2 linked regions of the Alligator mississippiensis genome follow. The main gene of each other region encodes a partner of the protein of the gene in region 2 in a complex. Links are inferred from orthologs where the notes say so. Each region holds a gene or a part of one and is shown on either strand. Other genes may lie near its edges.

Evidence for each region.
Region 1: the proteins of EIF4A3 (region 2) and CASC3 are in contact, whole or in part, in a crystal structure (PDB 2J0U), measured with the Homo sapiens proteins. The link is inferred for Alligator mississippiensis from reciprocal best matches to the Homo sapiens genes EIF4A3 and CASC3. Residues at the interface, in NP_055555.1 of Homo sapiens: Thr178, Arg179, Lys198, Ile201, Tyr202, Tyr205, Arg206, Tyr207, Leu208, Pro209, Pro210, Thr212, Lys231, Phe232; in NP_031385.2 of Homo sapiens: Arg217, Trp218, Glu219, His220, Asp221, Lys222, Phe223, Glu225.

The regions. Positions count from the first base shown.
Region 1 is NC_081827.1:164,600,499-164,608,003, reverse strand, and holds the start of CASC3 (protein CASC3), read left to right. Parts: upstream 1-4,504; 5' UTR 4,505-4,528; coding exon 4,529-4,762; intron 4,763-7,505. UniProt on the Homo sapiens protein: Required for pre-mRNA splicing as component of the spliceosome. Core component of the splicing-dependent multiprotein exon junction complex (EJC) deposited at splice junctions on mRNAs.
Region 2 is NC_081824.1:234,479,382-234,486,254, reverse strand, and holds the start of EIF4A3 (eukaryotic initiation factor 4A-III), read right to left. Parts: upstream 3,010-6,873; 5' UTR 2,942-3,009; coding exon 2,779-2,941; intron 1,748-2,778; coding exon 1,675-1,747; intron 1-1,674. UniProt on the Homo sapiens protein: ATP-dependent RNA helicase. Involved in pre-mRNA splicing as component of the spliceosome. Core component of the splicing-dependent multiprotein exon junction complex (EJC) deposited at splice junctions on mRNAs.

The DNA.
Region 1 (7,505 bases), on a different chromosome or scaffold from region 2:
GATGGGGTGAGTGAGCAACGGATTCTTTGGATTTGAAAGACCATGTTCCCCCTACTCTTTTGCTGCACTTACCTGTCTGATTGAGAGTTGCAGTGGTACCTCTGCAGGGCGTGTGGCTGGGGGAAGGGTCCAGGGAGGAGTTTTAGTATAAGGGTGAAAATGTTAACTTTGTATTGAAGATGTTAGCAGGCCACAGAAGTTGACCCACTTGAATGATTCCTTTTGAGTGTTGTGTAAAGACAGTGATCTTCTTTTTCCTGCTTGGCACAAACAACTTGATAAACAATAGAGAAACACAAAAGGCATTGCTTTTTTTCTTCCCCCCACCTCCCCCAACCCCCCATATCTGGGGTATCATTATGCAATGTGGAAGAGAGGCTGAATCTGTAACTTAACACAGTTGCGTTTTTATACTGAAGTTGAGGCAGTCATGGAGTCTGGAAGAGAGGCTAAAACACCTTTAGAGGGGAAAATCTCTTGTGAGGTATGGGCTCTGGTGCTACAGAGGTTGCATAAATAGGGCTATACACTGCATCCTTTTTTTTTTCCTTTTAATAAGGCTGTTCTTGAGTGTCCTGCTTTTAGCATGATAGCATGTGTCCTCAATGGATTCCTGTGCAATTAGGAGCCAAAATGTAAAACAGGCAAATACTAGCTGGAGCCCTGCCCTGCCCTGTGTGCTGCCCCCCCCCTCCCCCTTTTCCTTGATGACGTCCATTTTTCAGGTCTGCATTGAGCAGGTTTTGTATTCTGGTTATACTTTGCCTTAGTGGCTTTTTTCAGGGGGCAAAACACCTTTTTGAATTCCAGTGACAGTCAGCTCTGATTTGCTAGTCTTGAACTGGCCTTACTTCCCAGTGCAAAGCCATTTTGAAACTCTTCATCATCATGCCATTTAGACAGGCAACCAGGCTTTGTAACAGTCCTTTTTACTAATATATTGGCTTTTCATCAGCAAAAGGGAGGGGTGGGGATGGGCCAGAAGTAGGCTTTGGGGTGGGGGAGTACAAAACAAAACTTGCAGTTGAGTGTTAGTGTGGAAAGATAGTCTTATTTCTCCCAATATGGGGTACAACACTGTGAAATTCAATCCTCAACAGAAAGCCCTGCAATTTCCCTCCTAGAACTATTCTTTGGTTTAAAACCTTGCTTTTTTTTTTAATTCAAGTTTTAAACTAGTGTCAGAAAACTTAAAAACCTTTTAAAAATTAAAATTAAAAGCTTGTCTTTACTCTTCAGCCTTGTTTTATGGCCATTTGACACATGGTTGTCTGTTGTAATGCATACTTTTGATACCATTTCTAATGTGTAAAATGGTTGTCTTGTAAATATCTTATAAAAAGTTCAATTTGTAAATAAAAACTATTGTGGCTGTTAATTTTTTTTTGAATTTCTGCTTCAGTTTGTTAGATTTAACAGTGTTAATGGGGAGTATTAAACAATTCTGCTTGTATGTTTAAAGAATTGAAACCAATTTTTTTACAATAAAATAGAAAAAATATAAATCTGGTGATTGCCTTTTTCTTCATGTATATAATTCAAGACTTGTTACAGAAGCAAAGACATTTCTGAAGCTTGTAACACTATTCCCAAAGCGGCAAACATGCATGAGGCAGACAGCTGTACTTTTCTATTGGGGGTGAGAAGGTATCTTAACCTAGCATGTGTTGAAAGGCAGATTGTCTCAAACCCTTATTTTGGCTTGCTATTTTTCTTGCCTTTTGTGTAGGGAGAAAAATTAAGAACATTTCTAAAATTAGTCTGCAGTCCACAACCAGTTTTCTTTAAAAGACAACAAATATTTAAGAAACAGAAAATGTTTCCTGAAACTGTTTTTATTTCAGTTTAACTTCCAAGCTTTCCTGGGGCCTGCTTTGTCTCTAACCACTGTTATCTAGATGGTTTGTCAATGTATGCCTGCATATCCTAGCATATTGTTTCACATACAATTTATCAAGCCTATGACATGCATTCTTTTTTCTTCTTTTACACAGTTTAAGCAAGGGACATGTGAAAAGGCAGAGAGATGCTGCTGCTGGTTGATAACAGCTGTTCAGGGGCTGCTCTTCCTGCACTTAAATGCTGAATGTGGCAAGAGATAAAGACCTATTGTTGAAGAGGTGGAGGATTACCTGGATTTACGAGGAGGGAAACAAGTGTGTTCAGAAGATAATGTCACAGGAACAGTGTCATCAGTGTGGCTTGTTTGGAGTTACCCTGGCACCTAAACTATAGCTTCACTATACCTGTTCAGGCCTCTCTTTACTGGAGACTGAGGAAGATAGCTACCATGGCCCCCACTACTGGCCCAAAGTTGCCATGTCTGTGGGAACTGCAGGTACTCTTTTTCTGGCTGAAAATTATAGGCCAGGAAAGCAAAAAAATGAGTAGTAATATTCTAGGCAACTGTTGATCTTCTAGATCATGGTGTTTGCATAAGAGATCTAGTTAGGTGTGTGATGAATCTACTTGTGCCCAATTTGAGAACAACACAGCTTGTTACAAGTTTCACAGATCCACGTGTTGTCTGAGTTAGAGTCCAGGTTTATAGCACACTGCGTCCTTTCTTGCTTTGCTTCCATCCTCTGGATCAAAGTGACTTTATGTTGTGCTGCACCCAGTGCCAGATGTTCCCTCGAGATTGGACAGGATTCTGCACGCTTCTCCCAGCTTTCTGCATTAACGTTGAATGACTTCATAGCATTTTTGCACACCGGGTACTGCCATAGAGGGCAACCCTGCTTTCTAGAGCCATCTTGAATCTCACAGTACAAAATATTCCTGGGGATATAGTCTCCTCCCATTCTCCTGACATGGCTGACTCATCGCAACCTTCTCTTCTTGATAGTGGTTTCTAAGTGTGTCAGTCCTATGCACTCCAGCACCTCTGTGTTTGGTATTTTGTCTTCCCACTTTATTTTCAGGATCTTATGTAAGCATCTCATATGGAAACTGTTCAGTCTCTTGATGTGCCTAGCATATGTAGTCTGTTTCTGAACCATAAAGCAGAGATGACAAGTATGCAAGCCTTGTAGATTCGCAGCTTCACCTTAGATGACATTTTGCTGTTACTCCACACACATTTCTGTAATAGGCCAAAATTCTTAGCTGCTTTTCTGATTCTGTTCAGTCTGAAGGTCAAAATTCCTGTTGGTTGTAGAACCCAAGTAACAAAAGCTGTCGATGACGCCAAGAGATTTACCCCCCAGAGTTATATTAGGTATTAATTCTTCCCCGGCTTTGGTACATGACGATAGGTTTTGTGAGACTAATTGTCTCAACCTGAAGCTCCTGCATGACTCAGAAAATCTGCCCAAGAGATTTTTGCAGGGAAGATTCACTGTAGGCAACCAAGGCTGCATCATCCACAAACAGGAAATCTCTTAAGAAATAGCTCTTTCACCTTGGTTTTTGCTCTACACCTTACATGTTGAACAAGCCTCTAGTCTGGTTCAAAGATAAATGTCATCATCACTGTCCTTGAATGCATGAAGAAACAGGAATGAAAAGTAGATGTTAAAGAACATGGGGGCTAAAACAGCCATTTCACCCTGTTGTTGACGTCAAAGGTGTGTGATTCTGTTTTCATACGCTACAGTTGCCTTCATACCTTGATGTAAAGAACAAATGATGTTCAACAGCTTAGGGGAACAACCTAGTTTCTTCAGAACAGTAAAAAGGCCCTGTCTGTTGACTGTTATCGAAGACCTTTGTTGGGGAGATGAAAGCTATGTACAGTGGTAGTTGTTTTTCTCTACACGTGTCCTGCAGTTGCTTGACTGAAAATATTGTTATCAATGGTGGAGTGAAAACTGCACTGACTTTCAGGTTATTATTTCACCTAGAGACAGCAGTTTGGGTACCATAATGTCAGTGACTTTTCTGAGGATGTTCAACAGGGAAATACCTCTGTAATTGTGACAGCTGCTTCTATCTCCCTTGTTTTTGTTTAACTGCAAACTGAGCAGCCTTGAAATCTTGCGGTAATAATACATTATAATTACAACCTAGAAAGTCACCGAGGAACTGATATGGGAAATATTTCTGGTAGAATGAACCCCCAGAAAGATTTTTCCCAGCAAGAACAGGGGTGTGCCTGTGCCACTACTGGGGGGGTGGCTGGGTGCCCCCCCCGTGTTTGCTGAGCGGGAGCCAAGAACCAGGGACCCCTGTTAGGAGACAAGTCCTCCCGGGGACAGCGAAGTAGGCTGATGACGTCATTCAGCTGGAGTGTGATGGCATCATACCCCGCCTCTTCCTGAGCCCCTGATGTAAAAGGCCACGTGGGCACGTCGGGGCGGGTTTCCGGTTTCTCCCTATTGCGGGGGTGACCAGAGTCTGGCCGCAAAGGGCCCTGGGATAGCGTAGGCCGGAAGCCGTTGAGCTGCAGTTTCCAAGCCTCGTCCCCTTCCCCGCGCAGGCGCAGGAGGGGGGGGGCGTGGTCGCGGTGCACGCCGGGAGCGGGAGTCCGCGGGCCTACCCGTCTGCCCCCGCGCGCGCCCGCGGCGCCAGGCAGGCTGCCCGCAAGATGGCGGACAGGCGGCGGCAGCGCGCCTCGCAGGACAGCGAGGACGACTCCGACTCGGCGGCGTCCGACAGCGCCGACTCGGCGGGCAGCGCCGCCCGCTCCGCCTCCCCCTGCCCGCTGCACCGCGCCGCCCCCGGCCCTAGCCCCGGCCCCGGGCCCGGCCCCCCCGCGGCCCGCACCCGGGGGGCCGACAGCGCGGCCGGCGCCGCCAACAGCCCGCCCGAGTCCGAGTGTGTGAGTGAGGCGGCGGGGGGGTGGTCACCGCGGGGGGACTCGGAGCTGTCGGGGGCGCTGAGCCGAGCACGGCATCGCCGCAGGCGTCAAGATGGTGCCAGCCCCGACCCCGCCTAGGCAGGGGGCCCAGACCAGGCCTGCACGTCCCTGCTAGCCGACAGCAAGCTCGAATCAGCCCCCACTGTCCCACGGGAAGAGGTGTTCTTCTTCATGCCTCTTGAGTTGAGCAGGTTTATTTTGCAGCAGACCCCAGCCCTTTGCAGACGAGCCCCTTGGCATTGAGCCATAGAAAACTCTTCCTGGAAGGGACCTTGGGAGACATCTAGTCCAGCCCCCTGCTCAGAGCAGGACCAGCCCCACCTAGATCATCCCAGCCAAGGCTTTGTCTACCCAGATCTTTAAAAGCCTTGGGTTGGTGTCTTCTCTTCTTCCGTCTGGCATCAATGTGCAGATCCATTAGCGGCTGTCTGGTGTTATCACTCGATGTGCAGATTCCATTTACCCATCTGAGAATTTATAAAGATTGTAACTTTCGGTTAAGTGCTGTGCTGGTTGTTGGATACTTCCTTCACACAGGGTGTTTTTTTTTCCTAGTGTTGCACCCTGGGTCTTATGCAGCGTTTAGATGATGGTTTGGATAGGGGTGATCCTGCCTCAGGCAGGGTGTGGGAGGAGATCAGCATTTCTCAAACAAACTGCAAAAAAGGACTCTCCTTTAAAGGAGAAAAACGTGGGAAACAGTGGCTTTTCCTTTGCAGGGTGGCAGAGGTCTGGGCTGCTTGGGGTCCCCCATGCCCCACACATTGGGGGGGGTAGCAGGCAGTGGGTGCGGAGTGAGGGGCACTGTTTTGGGACTGACCATCAATGTTTACAAATCAGTCCTGGTGCAAAGACGGTTGAGAACCACTGGACTAAATGACCTCTGGCGATCCCTTCCAGCCTTACTTTTCTATTACCATGAATGAATATGTACCTGGAAAATATCCAGATTAATAGTTTGCCCCAGAACAGTGTGGTTTATTCAAATTAAATCATTGTCCCACCTCTTTTTTGATGGGAGTCAGATCTCAGACTAATCAGTCCCAGATTAAATTGATGTATGGCTTGAATGGTGATTAACTCAATTAGCCCCGGGTGACCTCAGGAAAAAATACCACCTCAATTCTTCACAGGTACTTAGGGTGGAATGATGGTCCTGTAGGATCCCAGAGTAAAAGGCTTTGTTCTAGGGGAAATCCAAAGTGTTTTTATCTTAAGATTTGTGTCTAGCATTTGCTGTGGTATGCTCCAGACTGTCTGCAGGCACCAAAGAAATGACTAAACCCTGGTTATTAAACAGGTAGGGAGGAACTAACAGGTCACAGGAGCCCAGTGACCCTTTTTGCATATCTCCATTATAGCAGATTATGGTCAGAATAATTATTGGGCTAACTAGAAAGTAGAGCTACAGATGATCCTTTTTTTAGTCACACCCTTACTGCTGTGGCAACAAGAATCTGTATGTGCAAGTTGCTCAGGAGGTGGCCTGGGGCTGGCCTTCTAATTTAATAACTTCAGCTTGATTAGGTTACTGCTGTTTTAACATTCTGTAGCAAGTGAGTAAGTCTTCATCAGAGCATCAAGACAATAGATCAGATGCTAAATATATTGCTTAACCCTTAATTCATGATTTAAAAATTGTGAAACAGTTGGGACTGGTGGGATTGATTTGGTCAGAAATCAATGCCAAACAAAATAGCATTGAAATTAAATCTTGTGACTTCAAAGCCCCTGTCAGCCCCATGAATCCCAAGTTGTTTGATAGGTTTCAGGGGCCACGAGGCTTAGCTATAAACACCTCTTCTGCCTTTCTTGAGCTTTCAGTGGACCTGCTAGTTCTTCTGGCTTTTTGCTTTTGACACACTTGCCGTTTCTTATTTGTGATTGTGGTATCTTTTCCTGGCTGAGGCCAGTGGTAAAATAGGTAGGGGTGGGGCTTGTGCTTCTCTTCCCCTTTTCCAGTAGAATGTGATGGGCTCCTTTGGGATGGTGCTATGCTCCGACCTCTCCAGGCCAGCTGTCCTTCCTGTGCAACTGAGAGCCTTGTACTACCACTGCACTTTGCTAGTCCACCGCATTTTAATAGTTCTTGTTTCAAGTATCTCTTCTGTTGTCAGGGCTGCTGATGTGCCTGGTTTTTACTTCATTATGCAGGCAGTTTTTATTTTCAGTACAAACCTATTTTTATTTAATTCCATAGTCTGATACTCTTTCTTCCCTGCACTTTGCCTCTGGTCTGAATTTCTCCAGTTCTGTCCCTTCCTGTGCTAGATGCAAAGTTACACTTCTATTATTGACCTCTGCAGCAGAGGTGTCTCTCAGCTGCATGCTTCTCTGTATCAGTTGGCTTTTCCACAGCTCCCAGTTTTTAAATAATCCTCCATATCATTTTCTGAACAGGTGGTCTATATTGATTAAGGGAGTCCATCCTTTCTGTCTGTAGAGGCAAATTCCTCCTCTTTACAGAATTTTTTTTAATGTATTGGGGAGTTGAAGCTCCCTTAGTGTTGTAAGTGTTTGGGGGATTAATACTGTACAGTCATAGATTTATGTGTTTTTCTTACTGATCTGAATTTAGCTTTCTGTATACCTTTCTTATGCCTCCCTTTTCGAAGGTGCTGACCTGTACCATGAGCACAAGTTTCTCTCTACCACTAGCTGGATATTTACCTAGTTGTCTTGCAGGATCATGTCCAATAAGCAA
Region 2 (6,873 bases):
TAAACTCCTATAGACAAAAACAAGCAGATTTTTTAAAAAGCTGTTGAGTGTTCAATCCATCAATCTATGGGATAGTTTGGATAGAGATAATCCTGCCTCAGGCACGGAGTTGGACTAGATGACCTCTGGAGGTCCCATCCAGCCCTACTTCTCCATGAATGACTCATTATCAAGGAGAGAAGAACAAGCTTTTTCTCCTCATGTAGTTCAACTTAAAGCCACCAGATATGCCTGGTTGACAAAAAAGATCAACTGCAAAGCCCATCTCAGCTGCTTGTCAGCTACAGTTGAAAACAGGGTGGGGAGCTTATCAAAATAAGGATTTAATATTGTGGATGCAACTGCACTTACTTTCCCCAATGCTTGCATTTATAACAAGTTTCAGGAGTTAACATGTGGATGAGTTCTCACACTTACAGTGCATTTAACTATTGTGCCATATTCCTTACAACACCGTGGTGAAGCATCCTATATATCTTCTTGCTGACTGCTTGTGTACACTACCAAAAATGTATTAACTATAACAGTGATCACCAAACAGTCAATTGCAATCAACTGGTTGGTCTGGAAGTCCCTGACAGTTGATCTCAGTCTGGGGGGAAGAGGGGGTGGCTGCTAGCCCACCCAGACTAAGATCAACTGTCAGAGGCTCCGCAATAAGGAGGAGCGGGACACACGTGGGGAGCAGCAGGATGCATGTGGCTGGGCTGAGCCATGCCCCGTCATTGGGGCCAGGCTGGATGAGTGACACAATCCTCCTCCGCACCCCCTGCCACCTGGTGACAGAAGCCCCGGCTGTACTGGGGGAGGGTCAGAGCCCAGGGTGGCTCATCCAGGCGCACGGGGGGTCTCCCTCTGCTGCATGCACCCCATGGAGGCCCGGAGAGCATGTGCTCCCACGATCTGTGTGCAGGGTGAGGCAGCAGCCGCTGCATGCTAGGCTTTGTGCCCCGAGCCCTGCTGCAGCTTGGGGCACAAAGCCCAGTGTGCAGCAGCAGCCACCTCGCCCTGTGCACAGATCGGGGGGGGGCACATACCCCCGGGCCTCCATAGGGGCGAGTGCAACAGCACACCCCCACTATGTGCCTGGACAAGCCACCCATGCTCCAACCCTTCCCCAGCCCAGCCGAAACCCCACTCCCTCCTGCCCCACTCCCTCCCTCCCTCACCGTGGGGACCTCGATCTGCCTCCCCCTACCCCCCTTCCTCCTACAGACTGACCTGCTGGGTGGGAGGATGGTGGGAGTGGGGCACAATAGATCCTGGACTGCCCTTTACTTCAAAGAGTGATCTTCACCTTAAAAAGGCTGTAGATCACTGAACTACAATGTTAAAATAGGCAACTCTGAGTTCTAAAAAACATATCCATAACTGTTATATTATTCCTTGGTTATACTTTAATACTTATATTAAAAAAAATAAACAACTGATTCTTTCCTGTGTGGAGCACCTTTATAAAGATATGTGAGGGGCAAGGATTTTGTGTAGGTGATATCTTATTGGCCCATCTGCATGGTTGGAATACATTTAGACAAGCTTTTGAATACAAGACACTTCTCATCAGAATTTGCCGCCTGCATAATTCCTGGATCATCACGGGTACATCATTCTACCACTTTATAAAGACAAACATGTTATATTATTTTCTTCCTTCAATCACATAATTTCACTTACTGTGCAATCACATCTCTTCCTTTAATGATCTGTTTGATTGCTCTCTGTTGGATCGCCGATGGCTTCTCAAAACCTGCAACATTTGAAATAATATAAGACACCTTTTTAAATGCCTGCTCACAGGTGCACAGAAGTAGCGCTTCAAATAATTTGAAAGCTGATGTGTGAAGCCAAGTGTAAGAAGTGGGTTTTCAGAAGCACGTAGGGCAGCAGTTCCCAAACTGTGGTTCGTGACCCCAAATGCGGTCGCAACATCAGCAAATGGGGTCGCAATAAACAGGGATCTGGGTTGGGAGTGGGGGGCCATGCTGAGGAAATGGAGTCATAAGTGGGGTCATGCTGAGAAAAAGTTTGGGAAGCACTGACGTAGGGACTGTTCCATTAACTTGATGGTTTTCAGCCAGTTTGGTTAGGTCAGTACAAAGGTGCCTGGACACTTGTACATAGGGGCACCTGCCCCACTTCAGCACAGCTGACTTCTGCAGATGTAACAAGCTGCAGCAATATTAGCCTAGTTTAAAGTGATACAAAAGTGCACAGGATAGCAGTGCACTGCAATCATTTAGCTGCTATGTCCAGAGAAACCCTAGAATTGCAACTTGCATTGTCTCTCAGCAAACTGTGTCCACATTCTTCTCTCTTCTTGGATAGCTCCCCCACATTGGGCTCTCTAGAAAGAACAAACTTGACACCATGTTGTTTGATGTCTTCCTACACCTCCCGTTGGAGGCCCCTGTGGTTCAGTAATAGACTCCTTATCACCCATACAGGAGACCTGGGTTCAAATCCCAGATGCTTACACAAATACAGTCACAGAGGCACCAAGCGCCTAAACCCAGTCTGACCTTTGGATTCTGTCTCAGTGCCCTAAAGGGGGGGATGCAAGGTCTGACCAGCCCAAATCTCCTCTGGGCGACCTCTCGTGCATACACCATAACCCGAGAGGATCAAGGGTTGTCAAACATCGCTAGGGCCAGGGGTAGGACGGCTCCCCGGCAGGGCGGAAGCGGGGCGCGCGCGGGCCCGGGAAGCTCCGCGCGTGCGCACACGGCCCGGCACGCGCTGCCCTCTGCTCCCCCTCCCCGGCTTGCCCCAGCCGCGCACCATAGGCGTAGATGCCGCGCAGCAGGTCCTCGCGCAGCCCCATGGTGTCGAAGGTCGGCGTGACGTCCACCTCCTCGCTGGTCTCGAACTCCACCTTGGTCATGTCTTCCTCCTTCATCAGCCGCTTGCGGGCCGAGCCCGCCGAGCCCGCCGCCCCCGACATAGTCGCCACTCCGACAGCGGCCTCCGCGCTCCGACCGGGAACTGGGCGCCTCACGTGCGTGCGTGCGTGCGTAGCAACGTCAAGCCGCACGGAGCGTACGCCCTTCCCTGCCTCCCAGCGCTGGCGCATGCGCGCATACTCTCCGTTCTTGCCAGCAGTTCTGAGCAGCTCCTCAGACGCAGGCGCGGACCTCACTGCCGCAAGGGGCCGGTGTCCTGCTTGGAGCGTGGTGGCTTGCCGTGCGGGCAGCCAGCCAGGGGAGGGGGCTCCTGTGTGGCTTTGTTACCCAATGAACTGGGGGAAAAACATTTATTATTATTAAAAACAAATTTTATTGTTCGTTAGTTGGCCTGATAAATTCATATTTATTCATTAGTTGGTCTAATAAAAAATATCGTGTTTACCCAAAGAACCTCGTCTCCCATTATTCCCCAATCACAAAGGGCATTTTACACATCCAAACACCGCAGCACTGGGCACTTTGAAAAGCGCCCAGCACTGCAACACTTGAGGTTGTATAAGTGGCAAAATGAGCGTGAGCGCTGAGAAAAGGGCAGTGGCGCACTAAACGCATTGGAGGTGCTTTCGTTCAAAAGTTCTCCGTTGCCATTTTCTGTGCACTGATGCACATTTTACCACTTGTACAGCTGCACAGGGTGCAGCGCGGTTTGCTTCAGCTCGCCTGTAGAGCAGACTCTGAAGCAGTGGATCTCCAGCTGGTCATGGGACAGAAAAATATGTGTATAAACAGTGGCGCAAATGGGTGCACATGCACCCCTCACACAGCCAGCATTCCCCACTTAGGTCGCTGACTGGCCACTGGGGGGAGGGGGGGGCAAGTGCCCGCCCAACTCAGGAGGCACCAGTCGCCCATGTGTATTTATGCCCAAAGGTTCATGCCCTGCAAGATGCTCTGTAGCCTGATAGAATGAGCACTTACACACGTGCAAGGAGCCTGCTCCGATGCACTGGAAATCCAGCACGCCAGCATAGATTCAATTAATCAACTCTGCTGGATCAAATTTATGTAAATTGACATGCTCTGGCAGCCTTGCGTGTCACATGCAACGTGCCTCTGCGCTGAGAAAATGGTGGCGGTACGCTTTGAATTAAAACACGTTCAATGTGCTTTAGTTCAAAGTGCACTGCTGCTATTTTCTCAGTGCAGAGGCACGCTGCACTGCTGATACATGTGCTCCTGACGTGGCACCAGGTGCTTTTAATTAGCACGGCTCACTAATTAAAAGCGCCCAGCGCCAGGGTGGAAACGCATGTAAAAATGCTCAATAGTTCTGGCATTATGCATGTGGGATATGCTGGTTTCCTCTGAGTGTTGGTAGCACCTGGTGGGTTCCACAAGAAGAGAGGCAAGTGCCCCACAGAGTCCTGGCCTGGGGGATTCTCAGGGTGCATGCACAGATGCTTGAAATGATGGAAGAAACTTCCCAGCAAATAAAAGACCAAAGGCCTAGACACAAGTACAATTGGGAAAAGGAGCAGACAGTGTTCCTAGACCAGCATGCTTGAAAAATTCAGAAGTGGGGCACAAAGATTGTCCTTTAGGGCAGTGTTTCTCAACCCATGGGTCGCAACCCAAAAGTGGATCAAAAGAATATTTGAAAGGGTTGCGAACAAACTTTAAAAATGGGTTCTCCTTTAAAAGAGAAAAACATAGGAAACTGTGCCTTTTCCCTTGCAGGCTGGCAGAGCTCCAGCCTGCAACAGGCTGTTTGGGGCTCCCCATGCTCCATAGACACCCCTTGCCCCACACACTGGGGGGCAGGGGGAAGTGGGTCAGGAGTGAAGGGCACTGGGCAGAGACTGGCCATTGATGTTTACAAATGGGTCCTGGTACAAAAAAGGTTGAGAACCACTGCTTTAGGGTCCTTTGAATCCAAACCTGCTCTTCTCTGGCAGAGACACAGTCCAAGGACTTTTGCCTGACATGCCTGGTCTTGCTGCTTTAGAAACTATTCTTTTGGGGGGGTTCTCATTTTTGGAAGCCATACGGGGAGCCCTATCAGTCTATTTCTCTTTTGCCAGCATCATCAGATGACTCCAAGAGCTGGGTACCAGCCCCAGGCTTGCTTGGTTCATGATTTATTCCTGCCCTGCCTTTAGGTATCTCTGAGTGGGGACCAAGCCTGAAGAGCCCAGGGACACAGGTGGGATCATATTGTGAACCTGAACATAATATCCTGACTGCCAGCAGATTCTCCTTTTGGTATGCCAAATAGGCTGAGCTTTTTATTGGTAGAACAATGTACCTGCCATTTTTAGTTTCAACATCACAGGCCTTGACACATGATGACTATTATATCTTCCTCAGTTTCTGGCTAGTCTCAAAGGAAAGAGCTGTCCATGTCTCCAGGAGTCTTTCCTTTGACTTTGGTGTGTACTGGATCGGGCCCAAATTGTGAAGGACCAGAAAAGGTACTCAGTGGGCACATCTACACCTACATGTGCACTTTAATGTGCATTAGCCTATTTTAATGCACATAAAGCATCACATAAAAACTGTGGTCACCTTTACATGTGCTCTGGTGGGGGAGATGGCACTTTAATTAGAGCAGCTCCAATAGCTACTGTGTCTTCTGTATCGCATCCCTGTGCTTAAAAACAGTGTCAAGGGGGCTTGAACTAAAGCTTGTTCCAACACCATTTTTAAGCATCAGGACACTGATACATGAGATGCAGGAGGCTGCTGGAGTGCAGGGCTGGACACAGGCATGGACATGGGCGACTGGTGCCTCCTAAGTCTGGGGGAGCACCTGCAGAAGCTGGCAGCGGTGGTGATGGTGGGGACGGAGCTGGCGAGCATCTGCAGGAGCCGGCATCAGCATCGGGGATGGAGCTGGTGAGCACCCGCAGAAGCTGCCAGTGGCATCAGTGGCAGGGACAAAGCTGGCAAGCACCCACAGAAGTCACCGGCAGTGTCAGCAGCAGGGACATGTGCTCCCCTGTGCTTGCCCTACTAGTTGCCTATGGGCTCGGGCAAAATGGGTGGCCGCCTGGGGCCTGGACAGAAAGGGGGCCTGAAAACAGTAATTTTTTAATTATTATTGCAAAGGGGGAAAGTTCGTCCAGAGCTGCCAGGAGTCTAGGTACAGTGCTGCTGAAGTGTAGCAGTTGCCATGCTCCAGCAACAGGCCCTGCCCAGACTCGATTCATCAAGTCTGTTCTGAGGTGCTGGAATTCCACTGCATTGAAGCAGCCTCTGTATAGGCGCCCTGTGCTTTTTATTTCCTGTGCATTCAAATAAGCTAATGTGCATTAAGCCTTGCTTAAGAAGTGGCACCTTGATGCACATCAAGCCAGACTAACGTGCATTTGGGGACATGCACCAAGGCTGACCTGATGTGCTGTAAATCCTAGTTTACAGGTTGCGGACCCTCCGGGACAAAGTGGGTTCTTTGTTTCTTATCTTCAGATTGGGGTGGGATGCTTTTCTGGAAGACAAACCCAAGTTATTGGGCTTCACACAGGTGAAATCCTTTGTTGAATGGAATTCAGGTCATGCCTTTCACCTGAGGCGTGCTTCCAGGGATCTCATAAATGGTTAGCCTGTTCTTGGGCCCTCTCTGGTCTCACAACCCCAGCAGCTCCTATTCCCACCTCTGTTTACAATCCATGGATTACTGGGAATAAAGAATCATGGGGACAAAGCCAGAGAGGCAGGAGGAGGTAACTCCACAGCCTCATACCTTCCTGTAGGAACAGTGCTTCCCTCCACTGCATGGCAGACCAGTGCCCCAACAGGGGATGAGCTCAGGCTTACAATAGCCATGAAACTCCCCATTCTCCGATGGCCTCCAGTCGATGGAGATCAGATGTAAGAGTCAATAAAGATGCAGGAGAAAGAAGGAAACAACACGTTAGCCGTGGGACAGCGGACACACCTGTTGTGTTTGCATCTCTCATTTGGCTGGACA